3 linked regions of the Danio rerio genome follow. The protein of the gene in region 3 purifies or fractionates together with the protein of the main gene of each other region. This does not show direct contact. Links are inferred from orthologs where the notes say so. Each region holds a gene or a part of one and is shown on either strand. Other genes may lie near its edges. The genes, in order: cdc27, anapc4 and anapc7.

The links.
Region 1: the proteins of anapc7 (region 3) and cdc27 purify together in Homo sapiens (affinity purification with western blotting; 23 studies listed by BioGRID and IntAct, with this or other methods). This does not show direct contact. The link is inferred for Danio rerio from reciprocal best matches to the Homo sapiens genes ANAPC7 and CDC27.
Region 2: the proteins of anapc7 (region 3) and anapc4 purify together in Homo sapiens (affinity purification with western blotting; 14 studies listed by BioGRID and IntAct, with this or other methods). This does not show direct contact. The link is inferred for Danio rerio from reciprocal best matches to the Homo sapiens genes ANAPC7 and ANAPC4.

What each region holds. Positions count from the first base shown.
Region 1 is NC_133178.1:20,785,877-20,789,542, forward strand, and holds part of cdc27 (cell division cycle protein 27 homolog), read left to right. Parts: coding exon 1-97; intron 98-218; coding exon 219-371; intron 372-467; coding exon 468-676; intron 677-825; coding exon 826-943; intron 944-1,071; coding exon 1,072-1,200; intron 1,201-3,666. UniProt on the Homo sapiens protein: Component of the anaphase promoting complex/cyclosome (APC/C), a cell cycle-regulated E3 ubiquitin ligase that controls progression through mitosis and the G1 phase of the cell cycle.
Region 2 is NC_133195.1:26,077,088-26,080,066, reverse strand, and holds the end of anapc4 (anaphase-promoting complex subunit 4), read left to right. Parts: intron 1-337; coding exon 338-461; intron 462-2,050; coding exon 2,051-2,284; 3' UTR 2,285-2,430; downstream 2,431-2,979. UniProt on the Homo sapiens protein: Component of the anaphase promoting complex/cyclosome (APC/C), a cell cycle-regulated E3 ubiquitin ligase that controls progression through mitosis and the G1 phase of the cell cycle.
Region 3 is NC_133183.1:13,326,356-13,329,913, forward strand, and holds part of anapc7 (anaphase-promoting complex subunit 7), read right to left. Parts: intron 3,219-3,558; coding exon 2,994-3,218; intron 290-2,993; coding exon 139-289; intron 1-138. UniProt on the Homo sapiens protein: Component of the anaphase promoting complex/cyclosome (APC/C), a cell cycle-regulated E3 ubiquitin ligase that controls progression through mitosis and the G1 phase of the cell cycle.

The sequences.
Region 1 (3,666 bases), on a different chromosome or scaffold from region 3:
TAACATCTTGAGTCAGCTACCTTCACACCATTACAACACGGGCTGGGTGCTGGGTCAGATCGGGCGAGCACACTTTGAACTGGCTGAATACATGCAGGTGAGTCTGCGTTGCAGAAATGAGGTGAAATCAATTACCAAAGGCATTCAAATTATAATGGCAAGTAGTGGAAAATGTTTTTGTTTGTTCTCACAGAAGATATTTTTGTCTGTTTAATTAGGCGGAGAGGATTTTTTCAGAAGTCCGACGTATAGAGAGCTATCGAGTAGAGGGTATGGACATCTACTCAACAACACTTTGGCATTTACAAAAGGATGTGGCACTTTCTGCCCTATCTAAAGACCTCACTGACATGGACAAAAACTCACCTGAGGTAAGTTTATCAAGGCAGTAATGCAATTATTAGTTGGAATATTATTCAGTTCAGTAAATCAGCTGCTTATCTTTTTGTTTTTCCACCTCTTTACAGCCCTGGTGTGTAGTTGGTAACTGTTTCAGCTTACAGCGGGAGCATGACATCGCCATTAAGTTCTTCACACGGGCCATCCAGGTGGACCCCAGCTTTGCTTACGCTTATACACTATTAGGGCATGAACTGGTTCTCACAGAGGAGCTGGAGAAAGCCCTGGGTTGCTTCCGCAATGCTATACGCCTCAATAAACGTCACTACAATGCCTGGTATGTTTGTTACTTTACATGACACCAAAAAAAAACCATTAAATAAGTCGTTCACTCACAATCATTTTACTTATCCAGTTGTCTGACAGATAAGTACCATCTGCTATTTCAGAAGCAAAAAGACTTCATCTTTCTGTCTCTTACCACAGGTATGGCTTGGGAATGATTTATTATAAGCAGGAGAAGTTTAATCTAGCCGAGATTCATTTCAAGAAAGCTTTTAGCATCAATCCTCAGAGCTCTGTGCTACTCTGTCATATCGGAGTGGTGAGTAAATCAGCCTTTATGTACTTTTTGGTTATGCATAAAACATAACATGATAATCACTGTTTAAAATTTCTGATAGGATTTTTGCTGTGCTGCATCTTCATATTGTTTCTCATGTACTCTGTCAGGTTCAACATGCTTTGAAGAAATCAGACCATGCACTGGAGACCCTTAACAGAGCCATTAGCATCGACCCTAAGAATCCGCTATGCAAATTCCATAGGGCCTCAATTCTGTTTGCCAATGAAAAGTACAAGGTACTGCTCTACTTGTACTATAATGTTAGGTGCAGTGAGTGATTTCTGAGAAACTCTGTTATATTTGAAATCTGACATCAAAGCAAAAATACACCGCCCCTTAATACTTAAACATGCAAAACAACAGGCAACCGCTACTGCAGAGTGAACCATATGCAGTTTAATAGTTCTTTACGATTGTTGCTCGTCAATCTATTCACCTTATTCTACGTGTATGAGCGAGCACAGCCGTTTGAATCTTTTTGGCTGGAGACTGCTGGTCTCATTCACTTCCATTCATTTTTGTGACATTAAAAACCGTTCTTTCTTCTGCTTGATGTTGCAAACTGATCTTTTTTTGTTTTACTATTCTGCTTCGTCCGTGTTGTCATGAACATACTTGCTTATAGAGGACCGTTTATTTGCCGTTTATTATTCCTAGTCATTTCTCCGATAGACGACTGAATCAGAAGTTCTTAAACAATCGCAAAAACGAGTGCACTATCACATTTAAGAATAGGGTCAATATCAGGGGTGCTCAAACGTTTCCTATGCATGGCCAAAACCAAACATAATTGACCCTTCGCTAAGCCCTGCCCAATAACTGCCACCCACCAATCGTGGCTTAGCAACTGTAGCTACGCGCAGGGGCTCTGTCAAGTTTTCGAGCGAGTGCATATGGATTGTGCAAATCTGATACCCGGTATCCTTAGAGTTTGGACTGGGCGGTGGAATTTTTCCCCTTTTCAAAACCTAAAATCCAAAAGGAGAAATACTAGCGTGGATCAAGCAGTGTGAGGGGCACTAAAAGAGCAGAGCTAAGTTGATTTTGTTTTGATATTCCTGACACATTCAGTGACAGACAGACGGCAATAACTCACAAACCTCTTACCCTAAACAGAACTAAACTGTGTTTCCTACAAAAACACAAAGCTGGTTATGTTTCACAGCTTTCTTATTCCTTTTTTTTTTTTGCTCTATTGTGAGTAATGCTCCGTTTAAGCCTTCGCCATAACGTTAGTAACTTAGTCATAATAGCGAATAAGTCATAATGACAAGAGTTATTGATTCGGAAAATACAAATCTGCGAATCTGTTGCTAACTTTACTGAACGTCATATTTCCATCTGTTTCAAGCTATGAATATTAGAAATGACAAATTAGCAGAACAAAACCGAGATATGATCACAAACTGAGCAGCAGATCAATATACTTTACCCGCAGCTGCTGTTTTTCAGTCATTTATAAAGAGCACACAAACATACTGACAGTAATAGGTAACTTATTGTTATGAGTCAATGATGCTAATATTCGACACAAATCCATCAGTTTCCCTTTCTGGCTGTTCTTTCTATGAATGAACTATGTAAAAGCACTGTCATGCATGTTTCTTCATCGGTTAGTAACTCCATTTCATTGCACAACAATTAATCCATCAGGCTTTTTGGCTAAAAATAGAGAAATCACGGTTTAATTTGTTATTATTAGATTATTTTTAGATTTCCCCTCTCCTGCTGAGCATGAGCTAAGCTGTTAAATGGTCAGCGTATGAGGTGGCTAGGCTAAGCTAGCTTCAATTTTAATTGATTTATTCTCTAATCGGTTGCCTATTATGTGGTGAATATACCCCTGTAATGCATACTGCAGTCCTTTATTGTCTGGCTTTCTCGGATATCTCACCTGTTCGCCAAAAATAACATTATACCCCTGGCAATGATTGACACCGGCGCACACATTGAAAAAGCTGTGCCAGGCACGAAAGCTTGACAGGCGTAGCAACAGTAACTAAGGAGGGGGGGCTTAGCGAAGGGTCCATTGAGAGCTGTGGGCGGAAGGTCAATCTAGCAAACTCTATTACAAAGTTGCCATAGGTAATTTTCTTTTTTTTTTATGTATATTTATAATACTTATAGATGGAAATTACTTAATCATGTATAATCATATGAGGTTAACTATTGCATTATAATTTTGTATATTTTATAATTAACGTATCCCTATGAAAAGAAACTATTCCATTTACAACACCATGGCTTTCAGTGCACATTTAAATACTCTGACCCATTCACAACATTCAATTGAAACATTTAATTCAAGCTTGTTTTTTTGTAGCATCACAATAAAACAAACAAAAGCTTATATTAAATTACAAAAGACAATCTCTATTAAAGGCAATTCCTCCTCCAACCCTTAATTTGGGATGGCGGGCCAAATCAAAGGTTATCATGGGCCAACTTTTGCAGATCCTAGTTTGGGCATCACTGGTCTATATGAATAGTTAACCAGCTTTAAGTCATGATACACTGTGGGATCTCAGTTGCTAAACAGTTGCCACAAACTCCAATACTTTCAAGACCCCCTTGTCTTCAAAAGAAAATTGAGAAAAAAAACAAATGTTTTGGAAAAAAAAATTTCACTTTGATTGGTTATTGATTTTACAATCACCATAGGAGAAGCCACACTGCAGACATGTGCTTAAACTTTGACACTC
Region 2 (2,979 bases), on a different chromosome or scaffold from region 3:
GATGCACAAACTTAGGTAGAAGCTCATTGTCATCTTTAGCAGATGTCTGTTGAAAAAAGTGAATTGTGTAAAAGTAAATATCTCCTTTCGCACTGAACTTTGAGCAGTGCAACTTTGAAGATGTGGTTTATATGCAAACAGAGACATCACACACTAGATAATGCTAAAATTTTAGATTATCATCAAGGACCCCTTAAAAGAAATGCAAGTACTATGATGCATATTAAGAAGCAGATCCAGCAAAATGCTGGATTGTAGTATGGTTATGTTTGGTTTGTCCTATTTATTGTCCTGAAATAGTACTTTTTTTGATGTCGTCTTTGTTGTGGTCTTTCAGGTTGGAGCAGCAAACTGAGGGAATTCCAGTGCAGGGTGTTGCCTGGGGAAACCAGAGCAGAGAGATGGACAACATCAGCGCTCAGTTTGTGGCTGTTAATGGGATCCGCAAAGTGGCCTGTGTGGTAAGATTATACAACTCCAGAATGTTTTTTAACTTTTTATAAGTAAAATCTGAGATATAAATAAACAACAGTTTTTTTAACAAGGAAAATTCTTACTTTTAATTTTTAAATAAAAAAAAAATCAGTCATTAATTTATTTCAATAATTTAAATATTTAGATAAAGAATATTTAAAGAATCAATGAAACACTAATGAATGATTTTCTAATGAATTGAAACATTTTCATATGAATGTTTTTTATAAATGTTATAATTTATTAATCAATTAAGAAATAATAATTTTTAATTATTAATATGATTATTACAGCTTTTTAACATGAAGAATGTATATTTCAATGTAATATACATCTGTTTTCAATAGACCTGTCACAATAATCAATATATCGACTTATCTTGCAATACTTGGAGATTACCTACATTTAGTGAAAAAAAACCCCCACATTTTGGGGCATTGCAATATATATTTACAAATTCACAAATAACATTAAAGCCATTTCACAATGATATTTCTATTTTAACAGTGACCATTTATAATTGAACATTTACCTAATAGAACATTTGATAGTTTACAGCAGGGGTTCTCAACTGGTTTAGCTATGGGACCCACATTTTTACATGGTCATCAAGCCGCGACCCAAATTTTTAGAAACTATAATACAATTTTAGGAATTATAATTAATTTGTATTTATTTGTTAACATAAACAAGTAGTGACTGATACATCATAAGAAATTCACCAAGACTTACAAATAAACAATATTTTATTGCTGTCTTTTAACAAAATGGATCAAATTATAGAAATATTACAAAGTAAACACGACAAATACAGTTAATAATAAACTGTTAACAAAACATGTTTTCTGGTTTCTAAATGTTGTTTTAATTTAGAAGGTTTCATGCTCTCTTATGAGAGCACCTCACTACATATCACACTAAGGCTTTAAGTCTTTTTTGTCGTCAATATATATATTCATACTTTACATATTCGGGGTCATACTTGCGATTCGGCAAATTTGTTGCAACAATAAATGAAATTTCATATGTCAAACGGTAGGGCTGTCGCACACACATTACAAAATAAAAGTCCGGTATAAGCAAAAAAAGTACAAATTTTTACTTTTGTTGTTTTTTTTGACCACACACTCCGTGACCCACTGAAAATCTTCCCGCGACCCACCAGCTGAGAAACACTGGTTTACAGTATATAAAAGGATATTTATCTTTTTAACTTCAAATTTATAGATATAAATAACCTTAAGAATAAATATTTAGTATTTATGGCTATTTGCATTATGCTTTTATATAATCATTGCATAATCAGTGTTATAAAATGATCTCAAAATGACAGTAATACTGCTTATCGCAACAATTTCTGTAACAATATATAGCACACAAAAATCTTTATCGTTTTCGTTTTTTGCATATACTAATTGTTATATAAAGAAATAATTAATTATTATATTACTGTTTAATAATTGCCATTATTTCAAAAATAATTAGCAACCAAATAAAGATAAAACCATAAAGATTTTGGCTTGCTTCCATATTCTGTAAATGGTAAAAAAATCTATTGTCTGATCTCTTCCATCAGCTCAGTGCCAATCTAAGGCATGTACGTGTGTTTGAAATGGACGCAGAGGAGGAAGAGGATGAGGAAGAGCGAGCTGATGAGTCACAGGAAATGAGCTCAGACCAGGACAGAATTGAGGACACAAAGACTAATGAGAGTGATGCTGTTGAAGGTGGACGGGTGGAGGATGCCCAGGTGTCGGGTCAGGGGCCAAGAGACAGTTTGGATGACACTGCAGGATCAGATACACTTTGAAGATCAAACAAGTTCTACACGATGGAACTATAGACTCCTCTGTTATAACAGGTCATGTTTTTTACATAGCTAAGAAAAATTGCGATAAACATGAATATTTCACATCTTCATTTGTAAATAAATGAATTTATTGGTAATACCCTGAACTCATATCTGGCAAAAATGTTTCTGTGTTTTCTCTGGTTGGATGAACATTCAGCGTGCATGAAGGAAAGGCATTGTAGAAATGCACTATGCACAGTCATCCATTATTTATTTATTCCACAACTAACAGTTTTCAATACCATGTTTACAGAGATAAAGTGAATAGCCTTGAGTTAGTCATGTGACCTCAATGTAAATGCAAAATCAAACTGCTTTTTTGAGTGAAACATGCACTATCCAGTGGTAAATTTTCCATTCATTTCCATTCAGGGAAACTGATTTTAAATTAACTTCTCAATCACTTTGCTATGAGCTATACAAGATTGTTAATCAATGATATGTGCATTTGTTGAATCCATCAACATGCATTATTTGAGTATTTTAAAACAATTATGAAAATACATTCATACATCATATAAAAATGTCCTGATGTTCGAATAGGATCCAAATCCCTCCCATTTTGAGGCCCACCACAACTTGACATAGGAGTTCGGTTTCCCTGCCATTGAATTGATTGACATCCGTGTATTAACATGTCTCCGTAGTAACGC
Region 3 (3,558 bases):
CTTGTTAATGGTTTTAAGTTGTTCCTTCCAGGATCCAATGGATAGAAATGGTAAAGAAGATACTTTGTATGGAGATACTCATGTTTAGCTTGGGACTTGCTTCAAAAAAGTGCATTGGACATAGAGTCTGCCATTTACCTCAGTGCTATACTGTACTGGTCCATCGCTTCCTGATAGTCATTAACAGCAACCAGAAAATCTCCCAGCATTCTGTGCAGCACACAGTCGCTCTGATTGGCTAACGTGTTTCGCAGAAGAGCAATTCCTTCCTCATACTTCTGTTCTCGACCTGTGAGAGAAATTGATTTGATGTTAAAAAATACTTTATTATGATTCAATATTACATAAAAAGATAATAAAGTATAAAGAGACAATAATAGTATAATGCTATATATATATATATATATATATATATATATATATATATATATATATATATATATATATATATATATATATATATATATATATATATATATATACATTAGGGATGTGCGGAGCAGCCGGTATTTGTATTTGTTGAGAGGGGAAAAGTATTTGTATTTGTATTCGAGTAAAATTCAAAATGGCGCAAAAAATATATTTTTTCTATTACACTACTAATTTACGTTATATTGAAAGTATTGTTTAATTATACTCATTATATAAATTATAGATATGCAATATTGGCTGTTGTTTTTGAACATGTGATAAGAAATGTCATTGAAAAGAAAATAACATAGAAGCCATTATCTCATCCATGGTTAAACCAACAACTCATAAAATACCATTGTGAATATTATGAACCCCACCACCACTGTTCTTGTTGAAGGACACTGAATAGACAGAATAAAAACAAATAATACTTCAAAAAACTGTTCCTCTTCTGAAAGAACTTTTTTCCAATGGACAGAATTCCTAAAACTAAAATTAACTAAATAAATCTAAATAAACCCTGCCTGGGAGATCTGGCAGAACAAAAGTATTCTATATAATACTAAAAGATACAGCCCTGCTATTATCATCTGCCAGCCACAAAAAAAGACACAAAGTTTGTTTGTTTGTTTATTTAGAGATATCTGCAAATATTTTTCAATGAATGTCCATGGAGGAATATGACTAGTCAGTCATAATATATTTGCAGATATTTCCAATCTGAATTATAATTATGACAAGTCAAAATATAATTAGAGATATCTCTAAATATATTTATGGATAGTCTGAACAAGGTTTAAATGCTAAGACGGCTTGCCATACGCACAGTGGCACAGTGGAGATTTCTCTAGTTATATCGTTTCAGTCGTTTGTTATGCAGTGACATGCAGTCAAATATTTCGCCAAACAGTCCTTAGGGATGCGGGGACACGCAGTCAGATATTTAACCGGACAGATCCGCCACTTTTGGCGCGCATAAACAATCATAAAGCTCTCGTGCTGCAGGAATGAGGAGGTCTGCTGAAGGCGCGCAGCTGACGTGCAGTAAGGGGTTTGCGTCTTTAATAAACTACGGCAGTTTGCGATCACTGAACAGTAAGAATGATTAATAAATCCATATGAAACAGCCCCTTAAAAGTCACGTCTCGCTTTCAGTTTCGGGCTTTGGCGCGTTTTGCACTGAGCGTGTGTCTTTCTCTCTCTCTCTCTCTCTCTCTCTCTCTCTCTCTCTCTCTCTCTCTCTCTCTCTCTCTCTCTCTCTCTCTCACTCAGGCATGCACTGTGGTCTCATGAGGAAACGCAGCTTTTTGATACAGTGTTTTTCTTGCTCCCGAATACAAATAATTTTTCAAGTATTTGTTCGAATCAAGTATTCGTAAAAACACGCTATTCGTGCCTTTCCGAATACCGTATTCGGGTTCGGCTCCACCCTTAATATACATATATATATATATATATATATAAAACTAACAAAACTAAAAATAAATACTAATTAAATAATGCAGAAAATTATCACAACTATGAGGAATTGACAAATTATTAAAAAAATTAAAAATAATACCAATAGTTAATTATTAAAAATATTTTGATTAAATTATAAAAAAATTAAAATACATAAATTTTTAATTGAGAAAAAATTTAGATGTAAAAGAAATAGAAGAAATATATACAATAACAAAAAAGTCAATTCAAATTTTAAAATAATATTCACGATAATAACATAAAAAACGCATTATTAAATAAATTATAATACAAATAATTAAATATATTACTACTGCTGCTATTAATAACAACAATAAAATAAAAATATTAATCAAACAGAAAAAGAATCAATTAATAGTTATAAGAAATAAAAAAATAATCAACTGTAAAATACATCAAAAAGTAAATTAATAAATTGTATTCATAATCATGCATTTATTCAAGATATGATAAGTTGATATGCCAAACATTATTACTATTGTTAAACTTAAAAAATCAGAAAATTACACTGAAAACTACAAAACTGATAAAAACTAAATTAAAAAAACAGTTAAATGAAAAAAAAGAACTAAATAATATATTGTGTGCAAAATGTTAATAATTAAACAGAACATAATCAATTTATAGTTATGAATAAGAAATAGAAAAATAATCAACTGAAAAATAAATCCAAAAGTAAATAATAAATACATGATTATGAATATAATTTGATAAAAATATGATAAGTGGATCCATCAAATATTATTACTATTATTAAAATAAAAAAGTACCCAAAAATTGAACTGAAAACAAAAACAAAAAATAATAATTATATAAAAAACTAAATAATATATTATGCGCAAAATGTTAATAATTAAACAAAAATAATTAGAAATAAAATAATAATAAATTTTAAATTACATAAAAAATTAATTAAATATGATTACTATTACCATTTATTATATAATAACTTTATACATCAAATATTATTATTATAATCGTTAAAGTTTTTTCAAAACTGAAAAAAACTAAAAAATATGAATGAATTTAAAAACCATAATAACCGTGATGTGCACGGTTTCTGATTTACTCTACAGAGAAGCAGATCTGAGACTCACTGAGCAGCTCTGCTTTCTTGACCACAGCTTTGATGTAGTCGGGCCGCTGTGCGAGGGCTTTGTCCAGCAGAGTCTTGGCTTTCTCCTGGGTCATGGGGTCTTCCAGACACACAGTAGCCAGAATAGTCAAAGTCTGAGCGTTTGCTCCCAGAGTCTTATAAATATTGTTGGCCATCCCCATCGCCTCACGGATGCCATTAGACGCTAGATAGCAGTCGATCAGACCTAGAAACAGGAATAAAAGAAAAATCTAATAATGTTGTTCACACATTCAAAAGAAAAGTACACAATAGAATCGATTTATAGCTTCAAACATGCAGCTTAGCCTTCAGTTTACAGCTGATATTCAAATGTGTTGTGATCAATCAAATCACAAAAAGATCCATCTCTTCTGTCCAGTTTTCTGATGAAGGGGGTTTGTGTGTGTGTGTGTGTGTGTGTGTGTGTGTGTGTGTGTGTGTGTGTGTGTGTGTGTGTGTGTGTGTGTGTGTGTGTGTGTGTGTGTGTTAAAGGGATAGTTTACCCCAAGAAATCTGAAATTTACTCACACGTGTGATTTCAAACC